Linked DNA regions of Arabidopsis thaliana. The protein of the gene in region 1 interacts with the protein of each later gene in a pairwise test. Each region holds a gene or a part of one and is shown in the gene's direction. Other genes may lie near its edges.

Region 1 (5,595 bases):
CGATAAAATAGGTAGTAAAAAAGTCAACGATAGTTATCCCAAAAATGCAATGTTAATATTTTTGTCAAATCTGATTGGTGTTGGAAAGTGGACTATCTATAAATCCATCTTTAAATGATAGACAGAGACACAGAGTAGAAGACTTTACAGCTGTACGTAGCTTTTTGTATAAACCACAAAAATAGTCAGAAGGCGACCTACACTATGTGATCATATAACACTCCCCATATATCTTTCAAGTCTTCGTTTACGAGGTTAATATTTTTCAACGTTTAGGATCCAGGTTTCTTTTAGATTCAAGTTGTGAATTAGAAAACAAACAAAAGAAGAAGTTTTGAGAGCACGTCTTCTAACATGGAAGCATTAAACTTGACGTATTTTTATGGACTATATTAATCGATATGCTGGGAGGATGATGAAAAAATAAAGAATTTATATATAAATATTAGTTATTTAGGTAAGTATGAAAGATAAATAATATATAAACCAAAAAATTTTTTTTAAAAAAATTAATTACAAAAATGCTATTGAATAAAAATAATTGTAATATTCGGATGATAAGTATATAATTATTTGTTTAATGTTTTAAAAACTATGATATCGCGATAAGTTTATAAATTATTTGTTAAAACATATTTATCGATTTAAAATTGTAAATCAGAATTTTTTATTTATGTATATTCAGCACAATAAAAGGAAATTAGACTTTTTTATATAATTAACATGATAATAATTATAACTACATGATATATAGAATGATAACATGCTAATATATTATATAACAGAATAATATTTATATGAAAACGTTAAGATATTCGATACATGAATAATGTTTACTGTAACGGATAATTTATACATAATATTTACTAATAATTGTTAACGAGGTTAACCTGATGATAACAATGAAAATATTTAGTAACAAAACAATATATGAGACTTTAATTAAAAAAAAGAAAAATACAGAAGAATAATAAAGTAACTTCATTAGTTCTTTTACTGTTGAAATAGTCCACAATTCCTACACCTAATTTTTCAGTCTTCTGAGCATATAAAGTGATATTTTCCTATTTTTATTTACTTTTTAATTGTATTATAATAATATTTGGGTATTTTTGGTTATTATAATAATATCTGAAAATATTATTGATATTTTTGGTTATTTTTATATTTTTACTAAAACAACCGAACCGATCCGAATCCGAACCAAAATCGAACCAAGTTTTTAGAATATCTGAATGGTTCTCAACCTCTTCATATCCGAATAGATTTGATATCCAAAAAAGAACCAAACAGATAGGGATACCCGAATGACCAGACCTAGTATTATTGATATAAAAAAGGTTGCTCAATGTATAATTTCATTTGACTAGCTGGTCTGTTTTCGTACAAACACACTCACAAAAGTACGAAAATAGGAAGTCGTCTTAGTTTTAGAAAATAACTATTGCTGCTTATTGGCATATATTGAAAAATCAAATACTACTAGTAATCGTAAGTTCTAAATTTGAATGTTTTTTTCCCGAGTAATTGAATTGTTCTTAGTAATTAAGTTCACAAATTTGGAAAATTGCGATATCTGAGAACGTATTAATTTACCTGTCGGTAAACAGTCACACTCATGTTTCTAGATTTCGTATATTTTAGTAATAATTTGGTTAGTCTCCTTATCTGCGAGTCAACGAGACCCGGTCCGCTCAACCGTACTACAGTCTAAATTCTAGTTTCACGCGCTTACTTACATTACATACGCGCTCATCTCTTCTTTACTCAAAAGTTTTAAAAAACGAATATCAAATCAACGCTAACAAAGTTTGATTTTTTGCTTCCATCTTCTTCCCCTCCTTAAGTTTTCAAATCTATTCATCAAATTTTCTTTTGTCTTTCCCTTAAGATTCCCGGGAAAGCCAAGGAAAAACGCTAGAAGAAAATTAACATAATAATGTTAATTGTTGCTTAAACCTTCCAGCTCAAGTTTGGTAGTAAGTAAGCAGACATTTAATCCCCCAAGAAGCAATTGAAGAAGACTTTTAATTCTTCTGAATTTTCTTTCCAAAAACCCCTTTTTAGAAAATTGGTTGCATCATAGAGATTGGTTCATTTATTCCCACCGGAGAAGATCATCAAATTCGTCTTCTCACCTATATCGCCGACGACATTCTTCACGGTTCGTTTGATTTCTACCTGTTGGTTCTTCGTTTTATCTGAATTCAATCGGAGATATATGTTTTTGAGTTCGAATTTGATAAAAAATCGAAACTTTTTTGATTTGAATCGCAGTTGGAAAAAAACAAAGCAAAACCCTAGAAATAGTGGCTGATGAGGTCGCGAGGCGATGTCTCTGAAGCAGAAGGTACGAGATCAGATGCTGGTTCTTCAAGAAGCGAAGAAGAAACGAGTCTGAAGGAGAAACACTCAAATTCGCGAGCTGGGTCTCAAAGATCTGGAAAAAGCTTGAGAAATGACGAGCCTAATTACGGATCAGATTCTTCATCTAAGAACACAAGCAGCAGCAACAACCCTATTGAGTATACAGAGCATGAACGAGCTGAGCTTTTAAGAAGGTTAGATTCTATCAAAGATCATCTACTTCGCGGTGGTGGTGGTGGTAATAATGTAGTTGATAAACCTAAAGAACCAGATCAGAATCAGCCTTTCCTTAGACCAGTTCATCTTCATGGTCATGCTAATCATAATCCTGGTCCTTCTTATTACCATCAGTATCCAGAACCTATTCAATACCCTGGACCGGTTCATGGAATGTATCCTCAAGCTTATCAAGATCCTTATGGGTACCAAAGAAGACCACCTCCAGTTCCTAATCCAAACTGGTATCCTCCTGGTCATTACCCTAATCAGATGGCTCGTCAGTATCCTGGAGGTCAATATGTTGAACTTGGTCCTGATATAGTTGAGCCACATTCTTACTATCCAGCTACTCCTGGTAGGTACGGTGACCTGCCTCCGTATAGCCCGGTTTCGTCTCACCATCGTGAAGAGAAACTCGCTACACAGTACAGTGATATGCCTCCGTATAGCCCGGTTTCGTCTCACCATCGTGGCGAGAAACTCACGACACCGTATAGTCCACGTGTTAATAACGGTTCGAGTTTTCCTTCTTCGATGGGCACTCCAGGTCCTCGAGGTGGTTATGCAAGGTGGCCGAGTGAACATGATTCTGAAATGGGCGGTGCTTTTGCTCGTGGGTATGTTAAGAAAGCTGTATCGGATACTGGTGTTCGACGTTGTCATCCTCTTGCTGGTGGTGCTCCTTTTATAGCTTGTCATAGTTGCTTTGAGCTGCTTTACTTGCCTAAGAAGAAGCTTTTGTCTCAGGAAAGGTTACATAAGCTGCAGTGCGGTGCTTGTTCTGAAGTTATTAGTTTCACAATCGTTGATAGGAAACTCGTTTTCTCTTCTGGTAATGAGGAAACAAAACCGGTCTCTCTAGAGGTTGAAGATAGAAACACAACAAACACAGTAGTGATAGAGGAGGAAGTCTCTTCTGTTGATTTCAACAGCTCAGGTAGAGATATTCCACGTAAGGATGAAGAAGAACCAGTGCAAGAACTGAGAAATCATCAGGATACTATTACTACGCAAAGCGTCCGCTCTGAATCTCAACACTCAGATGATGAAGAAAGATCGAGCAATTCTAGTGAACAACAACAGAAGGAGGTCAAATCTGTTCGTCGGCGAGGTAAAGGGTCAAAAGCACCTGAACCCGCTGCTCCTGATAATGCCAGTCTCCTTGAACTTTTTGAGTATTCTAATGTAAACAGAGCTGCACTCGCTTATGGAATGGCGCAGTTAGGTTATGAAAAGCCAGATAAGCAAAAGTCTTTCATGACACAGGACTCGCTGAAACCAGAATCAGTAGCTACAGAGACAGAGGTTTCTTACAATGGATACTCTAACACCGAGATCTCAGAAGATTCAAGGTACTCAAACAGAAAGGGTAGTGAGTACGGTTCGACAGAGATCACAACGAGGTCCTCTACTGATCAAAACGAAGACCAGATGAAGTCATTAGAGGTTTGGGTTAATGGACATCTTATACCAGAAGATCTTGTTAGCAGTGCTGAGAAATTAGCTGGACCAATCCAAGCTGGAAAGTATTGGTACTTCCATGAACTTCAGCATCCACTGTTTCTCTCTTGTTTTTGTTTTTCCCTTTACTCAGTTTCTGATACATGTCTCTGATTCAGGTATGATTACCGAGCTGGGTTCTGGGGAGTGATGGGCAAACCGTGTCTCGGTATAATACCTGTAAGTACCTTCACATTGTTCTCTCAAGTTGATTATTGGAATGGTGTCATCAAATTGATGAAGAAATGGTTGACTTACTTGTTGTTGTTGCAGCCATTTATTGAAGAGTTTAGCCATCCAATGCTGGATAACTGCGCTGCAGGAAACACAGACGTGTTTGTGAATGGAAGAGAGCTTCACAAGAGAGATTTCGAGTTACTTGTGGGTCGTGGTCTGCCTAGAGACAAGAACCGTTCTTACATTGTTGATATATCAGGAAGAATCCTTGATCAAGATTCAGGAGAAGAACTTCACAGCCTTGGCAAATTAGCCCCAACGTAAGCAGATTCACACAAATGATTTTTATTCTTTTGAGATTTTGAGATCACCTAAGATTCTAAAGTTTTAGTGTGTTAAACTTGAAACAGGATTGAGAAAGTGAAGCATGGATTTGGTATGAGAGTTCCAAGATCATTAGCTTCATGAAAACTCCCCCTAGTAACAACTACACAACCAAAATATGATTCTGCTTCTTGTTTCCATCTTCATATTATTTATTTGTTAAACACAACTGTAAAGTGTTTTTTACATCTTGATTTTGATTTTTGGTATTCTTTTTAAAATATCTTTGGGGAAATGTCTGTATGTTTTTTATTGCGACCAGAACCGGTTTAGGGGTTATAGACTGTATACAAACCGGGTTCTCTCGGTACAAGGTTTGTGCTTTGTATTATTTCCATTTTTTTATGGAATGATATTAGTTTGCTCTTAATGACTTTTTTTTTTATCTCTTTTATTGCTCTTTTGTAAGTTGTAACAGAAGCTTCATCGATAACATGGTTTACTCCTCCTAATTCCTTATTATCTCTGGTTTAACTAAATCGTTTATTTAAACCGGTTTTGGTTTGTAGGTTTCTTTCATGTCAGCAACAATATATGTAGGTCATTCGACCATACTCAACAATTCAATTAAACAATGTTCTCCTAGCTGATCTTTCTTTCTTCATGATTAGCTTCTAGGCTTGATTTGCCCTTTCCTCGAGTTCTAGGTGAATTATGGATTGGGATTATCTATCTATCGGTTAGTTATCCGGTTTCATCTTTCTTTCCACTAAAATGTTCATATTGTCTGCTAATTCCTCTCTTGGCTGATGGACTAGTTTTTGCACGTTTCTGAAGTGGGTCCTTCCTAAAATACAAGACAACAGATTATAACTTACTCATGGGCCCAATATCAATATCAATATCAAACAAGAAAGAGAATCTGTTCTTAACAGGCCTCGTGGTCCGTTCGTTTAGTTTTCATGTTTCAATATTTCTTAGAAAAATACAAAATTAGAGTAAGAACAA
Region 2 (5,529 bases), on another chromosome or scaffold:
GATGTCTTCCGTCTTGCCAAGGAAAATGCTCCAGCTATCATCTTCATTGATGAGGTAGATGCCATCGCTACTGCTAGGTTTGATGCTCAAACAGGAGCCGATAGGGAAGTTCAGCGTATTCTCATGGAGCTTCTTAATCAGGTGAGAACAAATAATGAATTTTAGTTGTAATTCAGATCTTATGTTGTAGAATAATGGATTTTAGTTGTGTCCTTAACTTATTGTGTTGAATTCGATGTAGATGGATGGATTTGACCAGACCGTGAATGTCAAGGTCATAATGGCAACAAACAGGGCAGACACTCTAGATCCTGCTCTCTTACGTCCTGGAAGACTTGATCGTAAGATTGAGTTCCCCCTTCCTGATAGACGTCAAAAGAGGCTTGTTTTCCAGGTAAGTTAATTACTACAAGCACTTAAATAACTAGTTAAAGAGATATGAAACCAAATGTTTTCTCAAAAGAAAGTTTTGACTGATATCTTAGTTTCTGTCTTATTGATTGGTTTTTCCTTGTGTAGGTATGCACCTCCAAAATGAACCTTAGCGATGAGGTTGACTTGGAAGACTATGTTTCACGGCCTGATAAAATTAGCGCTGCTGAGGTTAGTTTATTTTGCTTACCATTCTATTCTTCCCGCTATAGTTTACTTTTACCATGATATATCCTCCAGTGTTTCTGGGTCACCACCTAATGATGTTCTTCAAAATATGCACTTGAGCATAATCATACTGTTTCAAGCATTATGTATGAATGTTAGCTGAGTCGTTTGTTAATCATTGTCCTGAACTGAATTGTTGAGAAATCAATTGTTGGCAGTAATATGGTTTGATTTTATCATGTACATGGGAATTGTTCCTAAAAAGATTGCATGTAATGATGATAGTTATTAATGACACTATTTTGATTTTATGTTGAACAATGCAGATAGCAGCAATTTGCCAGGAAGCTGGTATGCATGCGGTGCGAAAGAACAGATATGTGATACTACCTAAGGATTTCGAGAAGGGCTACCGCGCAAATGTTAAGAAGCCAGACACGGACTTTGAGTTTTACAAGTGAAGAGAAAGCAGAAGTGGAACCAGATTATGGCTGTTGTTAAAATTCCAGTGTGTTTTGAGAATTATTAAGGACATGGAATCAAATTTGCAGTTAAATTAAGAACTAAGTTGCATCTCCTAATTTCTGTAACTCGAGTTCACATTTGTTTTTAGTCTATCAGCTTTTTACAGTTTAATGTATAAGAAAAACTGGGGATGGTGTCCTTAGAATTGCCAGAGCATGGTAATAATTATGTCTCCTCTGATTAAAAAGACAACAAAAATAGTGATGATATTAGGAGCACGCTGCACTGCTCAATGTTCATAGAAAACTTCAGACTTCAATAATGCCTAAATGTGTTGGATCTTGTTTTGGAGTTGGTGATAGATGATGAAATGACCAGTATTACTATTACATAGTATCCGCAAATCAAGAATGATGCAAATCAAGAGAAAACAGTAGCAAGAGTGGTTGGACAGGTAAGAACTATTACCATATCTAAATGATTACTTTAAAAATAACAACTTGGATCAAGATGGTTTTTGTTTTCATGTATTTGTCATTTTGCTATCTCATAAGAATCTTAAGCTTGGTCAGTCTCTGGGTCTCTCTACATTAGCGTTTGTTGCGGTGTTTACACACCAATATGATTTGATCTAAAGACTCCTTTTGAAGACTGTCTTACCCTTAACGAATACGCCTCTTTTGTTTAACTTCACCACACTCTCTCTCTCTTTCTTCTTCTTCTTCTTCTTCTTCTTCTTCTTCTTCTTCTTCTTCTCCACTAGTCCCCACATACATTGCCTTTTCTTCTTTCTTCTCTTTCACCATTTCAAGATTGTGTTATAGTCCGCTCAATGCAGTAGAGTGCAGAGGTCTGAGCGCTCCATCTGCATAAGTTCTTCTTCCTCTATTGCTGAGTTCTTCAGTGCCCACAATTTTCTTACTTCGCTAGCTTACCTCTCTACTCCCAGGTTCTCTTTCTCTCTTCTTCTTCTTTTTGGTTTTTGTATTTTTCCTTTTAACTTTCTGTAATTGTCTGTCTCTCATTGTTGGGAATTATACTTAAAAATCGCCATTTTCTCCGGCTAGGTGGGTAGGAAACTTTCAAGACTTTAGATACAGGCTAGTGACGTGGTATATTAGTTCCAATTCGCTGGCTACACGTTGTTTGTTCAACAACTCCGATAAAAATCAGACACTCAAAACTCATCTTTATTTACTTAGTGACATTGTCCACATGATGGACAGACCTCTGCTTCTTTCTCTAGTGACAATATCTTTTGGCAAAAGGAGTCTGCTTTTCTTTGCTCATCAAAGTTTTGTGTTAAAGTTTGGCTCTTTAGCTTTATTCCTTTTGCTTTTTTTTTTGTGCTGGATGCTTCAATCTCTTATCTTAGCCTCTTGGATTGTTTAATCTCCCAATGATAAAGATAAAGATAGGCAATGGCATACTTTTTCTTGAAGATCTAACTAGTATCTTTATTTGTTTTTTCTTCCCATCTGTAGTTTTTTATATAACTGATATGCTTTTTTCTTTCACAACCGAATATTAGTTATCAACTTTCAATGTTGTGATCCAATAAATGAAGCTTGCTTGGCCAGTTCCTTAGAGATACCTGATTAGCTTAGCTTTCCTTGCTGCTGCATACTGGCTTGTGTAGTGGAAGTCATTGCTTATCATCTTCTGCTTTTCTTTTGGAGCAGGGTCAAGAAGTCAAGCTGATGATGCAGTTCCATTTCCAGTTTTATGTTGGTCCAGTATTTACCTTGAGACCGTCAAAGGGGTTCTTGTCTACTTGTCTTGTCTCTTTCTTGTTTGTCACAACTACTTTCTGCTCTTATGCTATTGCCGACCTGAACTCGGATAGGCAAGCTCTTCTTGCATTTGCTGCTTCTGTTCCTCATCTCAGACGACTCAACTGGAATTCCACTAACCATATCTGCAAATCATGGGTTGGCGTCACCTGCACTTCTGATGGTACTAGTGTTCACGCTCTTCGCCTTCCAGGAATTGGGCTCTTGGGACCAATCCCTCCAAACACACTTGGTAAACTAGAATCACTCAGGATTCTCAGTTTGAGATCAAACCTCCTCAGTGGTAACCTTCCTCCTGACATTCACTCTCTCCCTTCACTAGATTACATCTATCTCCAACATAACAACTTCTCTGGTGAGGTTCCTTCCTTTGTGTCCCGACAGCTCAATATCTTAGATCTCTCATTTAACTCTTTCACCGGGAAGATACCAGCAACGTTCCAAAATCTGAAGCAATTGACAGGGTTGAGCCTCCAAAATAACAAACTTTCTGGACCAGTACCTAATCTTGATACAGTAAGTCTGAGACGTTTAAACTTGAGCAACAATCATCTTAATGGTTCAATACCCTCTGCACTTGGTGGCTTTCCCAGTTCATCTTTTTCCGGAAACACATTGTTATGTGGACTTCCTCTGCAACCCTGTGCCACCTCCTCTCCCCCTCCTTCGCTAACCCCACACATTTCCACGCCTCCATTGCCGCCATTTCCTCACAAAGAAGGTTCAAAAAGGAAACTACATGTAAGCACTATCATTCCTATTGCAGCTGGAGGGGCTGCTCTGCTGTTGTTGATCACCGTAATTATATTATGCTGCTGTATCAAGAAAAAGGACAAGAGGGAAGACAGCATCGTAAAAGTAAAGACTTTGACTGAGAAAGCAAAGCAAGAATTTGGAAGTGGGGTGCAAGAACCTGAGAAGAATAAGCTGGTATTCTTTAATGGATGCTCCTATAACTTTGATCTAGAGGATTTGTTGAGGGCATCAGCAGAAGTACTAGGAAAAGGTAGCTATGGGACAGCATACAAGGCTGTGTTAGAGGAATCCACAACTGTTGTGGTAAAAAGGTTGAAAGAAGTCGCAGCTGGAAAGAGGGAGTTTGAACAGCAGATGGAGATTATCAGCCGGGTCGGGAACCATCCTAGTGTGGTTCCCCTCCGTGCATATTACTACTCCAAGGATGAGAAGCTCATGGTTTGTGATTATTACCCTGCTGGTAACTTATCATCACTACTCCACGGTTAGTTTTCTTCCTACCTTCGTTTAATGGTTTATATTTACCTCGTTGGTGTACTTAAGAATATCTTGATTTCGATGCCATGACAGGTAACCGGGGAAGTGAGAAAACGCCTCTTGACTGGGACTCCAGAGTAAAAATCACACTATCAGCGGCAAAAGGTATAGCTCATCTCCATGCAGCTGGAGGTCCAAAGTTCAGTCATGGAAACATAAAGTCCTCAAATGTGATTATGAAGCAGGAGAGCGATGCGTGCATTTCTGATTTTGGACTGACCCCTCTGATGGCTGTGCCGATTGCTCCAATGAGAGGTGCAGGCTACCGCGCACCAGAAGTAATGGAAACAAGGAAACACACACATAAATCCGATGTTTACAGTTTCGGTGTACTTATACTAGAGATGTTAACTGGGAAGTCTCCAGTGCAATCACCAAGCCGGGATGACATGGTTGATCTCCCGAGGTGGGTACAGTCAGTGGTGAGAGAGGAATGGACAAGCGAGGTGTTTGATATTGAGCTGATGAGGTTTCAGAACATTGAAGAAGAAATGGTACAGATGCTGCAGATTGCTATGGCATGTGTAGCTCAAGTGCCTGAGGTACGACCCACCATGGATGATGTTGTTAGAATGATTGAAGAGATACGAGTTTCAGACTCTGAGACCACTCGGCCATCTTCAGATGACAATAGCAAACCCAAGGACTCCAACGTCCAAGTTTAAATCACCCCTTGGATCTCATTCCCTTTTTATCTATGTTTTTGAGTTTGTATGTCTTATAAGGCTTTATGTTGATTGTTTGAACACCACTCGCCTGAGTAATACCGCAGTTGGAGGCGCGGTAACATTTACATAGCAATTATTATTGTAGGCTCCTTTTTCTGTATCTCATAATATATATGAATATGATTCAGTTTTATGCAAGCTAAGTAAGTATCCAAAAGATGGATTTAAAAGAGTTCCAGAGAGACATAAATATCAGGGAGAAAGAGATGAGGCTGCTTGAAGGAGGAATTGATAGAGTTCTTGAGGTTGGGAGAAAAAAGCAGAGTGGTCACTGTCCGGAAGAAGGAAGGTGTGAGCAGGAGGCCACAGGGCCAACATTACCTCTTGAAGAACTGGTTCGAACAAATGGTCCTTGCCTGTCTTCACGTACACTCTTGGGATTTTGTCAGTCTCTGGAGCTCCCGGAATATCCATTATGCCTATGAATGCCATGACAGGGGCCGGACGCAGAAGTGTGGTTGCCAGTGTGTAATCCTGATCAGAATGAATAAATGAATGATGATGATTCTCTACAAAAAAAATTGAGGCAGAGATGAGAACAGAGTTGGTAATAAAGGACACACCTCCATGGGGCTCTCGTTGTAAAACTTGTCCCGAACATACTCAGGTTTCATCATGATGCTTGTTGGGAGATTTTGTGGTCCATTTCC
Region 3 (3,746 bases), on another chromosome or scaffold:
AAATTAAAGTAGTTGAGTTGAATTTGTTTGGTGTAGCATTTTAAAACTGAGGGTAATTATATACATGACATTTGTAATTCAGAGATTCATGTCATCCTACATTCCCATGTTGTGGTGAGCCAGTTCGACTGGCCTATATTAGTGAAGTCTGGTTTAATAACGTCTTATTTACAAATGTGGTTTGCAGGTTGGTTCCCAGCAAAAAGAACTAAAAAACTCTACTAGAATCGCATGTGGAATACACTGTCACTGTAATGGTAGCAGCAACTTCTTTTTTTTAAAAAGCGTTAACTAACGTGGCATTTTTTTCTTCTAAAGGACAAAAAGTAACGTAACTCACCAAAGCTAACCCCAAGAAACAGCATTGATCACCCATATCATCATCACTGCATAGAAATTTTGATTAGTCACCAACAAAACTACTTCTTCCGAAATTAAAAAATGAGCACGCATAAGCAATATTTATTTAATATAATTGCAACTCATGCCGATGGCCACATTATAAACATTTCATGTAAGATCCAATCATATAATCGTATATGCACGCGTGTACAAATATGTGTGCATGAAAAGAAAAAAAAATATGTGTGCATGTAAGCAGATAAGAGAACTGAATGTAGTCGCAACTTTTTTTTTAAAGGATTGGATTTGACATAAGATATTATATAGATGTGAGCTTGACAGTTACAGAACGTATTGTATATAGAACAATACAAGAAAAGGCCATGAAAGAACACTAACACTTGACTTAGGTTAATCATTCTTTAATTACATCGGGATTGACCTTCTTCGTTTATTTAACTCATAAGATGTAGCTGACAAAGTCTAGTTAAGGTTTCATCCGGGGGAGGATTTATGTGGGGATGGTCGCTTTTGCTATCTCGAGTTGACTTCCAAGTTAATCCTAACCACATCACATACTTCTATTATTCCATTTTCAACCTAATGTAAATAATTCATATACATGACAAATGCATTTAGAGAGAAGAAAAAACATCATTCATGACGACAAAAACTTAGTCTATTGAACTTTTCTAGCGTTTTCTCTTGCCAGCATCCGGGTTCATCAAAATCTGTATATTGCATATTATTGTCATTATTGACAAAAAGACATTATTTACAACTTCTATGTATCGTATATTTATAAACGTCTAGATGTCTTTTTAATTTAAAACATCTTTGTAAATCTTTAATTAAATATCTGATTTTAAATAAAATCAAACATAAACATAAACAAATATAGTTGTGGAAGTCCTTTGGCCCAATGGTTGATTAAGGGTTCATCAACCCCCGCTAATTTTTTTTTTCTTTCTAAAACAGATGAATGTAACCTAACGTGTGTCCCGTCTCTAGAAAACATAAAATTCTTAAATTCTAACTTCTAAATTAAGAAAAAAAAACATTACTTGACATAATATATCAATTAGAATGTTTTTTTTTTTAATTACAATATTTTGTTTGGATCAAAATATCTTTTGGATTTTAAATCACTAATAAACTGCAAGGTTCAAAATATAGTTAGGTTCAATAGCTTAGTTTTCAAATTTTACTCAATTTAGTATAATCTTTCCGATTTTAAGATGTTTGATAAAGTGAAACGAAAAAATAAATTACTATATGTGTGACATGTATTTGTTTGTGTGTGTTATTTTGTGTGAATGTATGTCACAACTCGCGAGTATTTTATACGGTAGAGGGTAGGGTGTCTTCTTCATTGCATCTCTCTAGAGTCTGGACCGTCTGGCATATATATGAAACAAATATACCACAAAGAATTTAAAGATTCAACAAAATCCAAAGAAAATATAAGAACAAAACTCAAGCTAGATTCTTCATATACATGCATATACATATGATGAATCGAGATGAGCATATTGCAAAGAAAGTTGAAGGATCAATCTCTAGCTTCTCCGGGGAGACCAGTACTTCCTCAAAACAAATCTATGTTAATCCCGTGACCACGACCGGGACGAAATCAATGGAAGACGACGACGTTTCACTCTCTCTTCTATACAATCTATCTACCTTACATGAAAAAGTCCATCAGATCCAATCTCTGGTCAGCTTCTACATGGTATCTACTAATAACATTAACCAATCCTCGGGGTCAACGTCTTTGGCCGTGGCTAACATCGGAAGTTTGGTTCAAGAGATCATCACGGCTGCTTCATCCATGTTATATACTTGCCAACAACTCCAAATCGGATCTAACAACAACAACAACGATATCGATAATGATCAAACCGTAGATGCAATGGTTTTGGAGTTTTCCCGACAAGAAACCGACCCGGGTCATGATTTTGTGCAAGAGTCGACCAACCTTTTTGGTGTCCAAGAAAGAGGGCAGATCTCGTTTCCCGACCAGAATCTTGATTGGTACAACACCGAAACCATAAACCCTAAAAAAGATAAACATCGTTCTAAACCAAGTTCCGGGAGCTACGATATACTGGAGCTAGACGTAGCGGACCTACTAGCGAAATACACGCATTACTGCCAGATTTGTGGGAAAGGGTTTAAGAGAGACGCTAATCTAAGGATGCACATGAGAGCGCACGGGGATGAGTACAAGACACGTGAGGCCTTGATCAGCCCAACGAGCCAAGACAAGAAAGGAGGATACTCGTTAAAGAAACATTACTACTCCTGTCCTCAACACGGGTGTAGATGGAACCAGAGGCACGAGAAGTTTCAACCGTTGAAATCTGTGATTTGCGCCAAGAATCATTACAAGAGGAGTCATTGTCCCAAAATGTATATGTGCAGGAGATGTAGTGTGAAGCATTTCTCGGTTCTGTCTGATCTTAGGACACACGAGAAGCATTGTGGGGATATAAAGTGGGTTTGCTCTTGTGGGACTAAATTTTCTAGGAAAGACAAGCTGATGAGCCACGTTTCTTTGTTTTTGGGCCACGTACCGGCACATGGGTCGTCCAAGCCGCCGACAATCACCCTAAAGTAAGAACATAGGAAGTTTGAGGTCTATAGAGATTTCATAGACGATATCTCAAGAAATGACACGTGCATTCACTCCCTCTCTTTTTTTTGTTCTTTTTCTTTTCACGAGTTTCTATATTCTCTAAATTAATGTCACAAAGATAAGATAATATACAGATTTGTATCATAGTGACTTGTGCATTAACGTTAATGTTACAAATGATTTTGGTTCTGATGGGTATCATGCATAGATTTTCACTAATCTCAGAAATATGTGGAATCAGTGAGAATCAAAATTTATGTTTAATACGTCTCTCACTTCTCAGATTAATCAACAACTATCTATTGATATATCATGCAGAATTTTAAGAAAATATAAGAAACATCGTTAACTCTGTTAAAATACAACTACATATTAACTTATTAAGATGAGTCCAACTTATTAAGCTGAACTAAATGTTTGTATTTTAGAGAAATTCAAAATTTGTATCTATAAAAAGTTGGTTATTTTTGAAGAATTTTGAAAGAGTTGAAAACTTATAATTATGCATTAGTTCTTCATTTCCATAAAAATGTTAGATAGGAAAAAGTTGTTACCAACTTTGTAGATACGGTAAAATCATAGCCGTTCATTGGTAGACGGATCAAAAGTAACCACGTCAGCTATCCACGCCAAAAACTTTTTCTCTCTTTGCCGCTTCATGAACTTATGGCGGATAACAAAAAGCGCAACAGAAAATTCGAATTTTTCAATATTTCGAAAAAGAAATTTAAAATCACTCGCGCATTAAAGTAAAATAGATCTGAAC

The links. The genes of interacting proteins can lie anywhere in the genome.
Region 2: the proteins of AT4G01090 (region 1) and AT5G58300 interact in a two-hybrid assay, tested with the Arabidopsis thaliana proteins (one large-scale study listed by BioGRID).
Region 3: the proteins of AT4G01090 (region 1) and AT5G22890 interact in a two-hybrid assay, tested with the Arabidopsis thaliana proteins (one large-scale study listed by BioGRID).

The regions. Positions count from the first base shown.
Region 1 is NC_003075.7:469,970-475,564, reverse strand, and holds AT4G01090 (hypothetical protein (DUF3133)), read left to right. Parts: upstream 1-1,685; 5' UTR 1,686-2,164; intron 2,165-2,277; 5' UTR 2,278-2,316; coding exon 2,317-4,118; intron 4,119-4,205; coding exon 4,206-4,266; intron 4,267-4,359; coding exon 4,360-4,583; intron 4,584-4,673; coding exon 4,674-4,731; 3' UTR 4,732-5,059; downstream 5,060-5,595.
Region 2 is NC_003076.8:23,570,056-23,575,584, forward strand, and holds AT5G58300 (Leucine-rich repeat protein kinase family protein), read left to right. Parts: upstream 1-1,779; 5' UTR 1,780-2,014; intron 2,015-2,132; exon of another isoform or gene 2,133-2,372; intron 2,373-2,747; 5' UTR 2,748-2,765; coding exon 2,766-4,098; intron 4,099-4,184; coding exon 4,185-4,816; 3' UTR 4,817-5,029; downstream 5,030-5,529. Other genes in the region: RPT3 (regulatory particle triple-A ATPase 3), read left to right, coding at 1-141, 242-394, 520-603, 927-1,061; MES18 (methyl esterase 18), read right to left, coding at 5,072-5,353, 5,443-5,529.
Region 3 is NC_003076.8:7,652,757-7,656,502, reverse strand, and holds AT5G22890 (C2H2 and C2HC zinc fingers superfamily protein), read left to right. Parts: upstream 1-1,667; 5' UTR 1,668-1,840; coding exon 1,841-2,962; 3' UTR 2,963-3,246; downstream 3,247-3,746. UniProt on the Arabidopsis thaliana protein: Probable transcription factor. Together with STOP1, plays a critical role in tolerance to major stress factors in acid soils such as proton H(+) and aluminum ion Al(3+). Required for the expression of genes in response to acidic stress (e.g.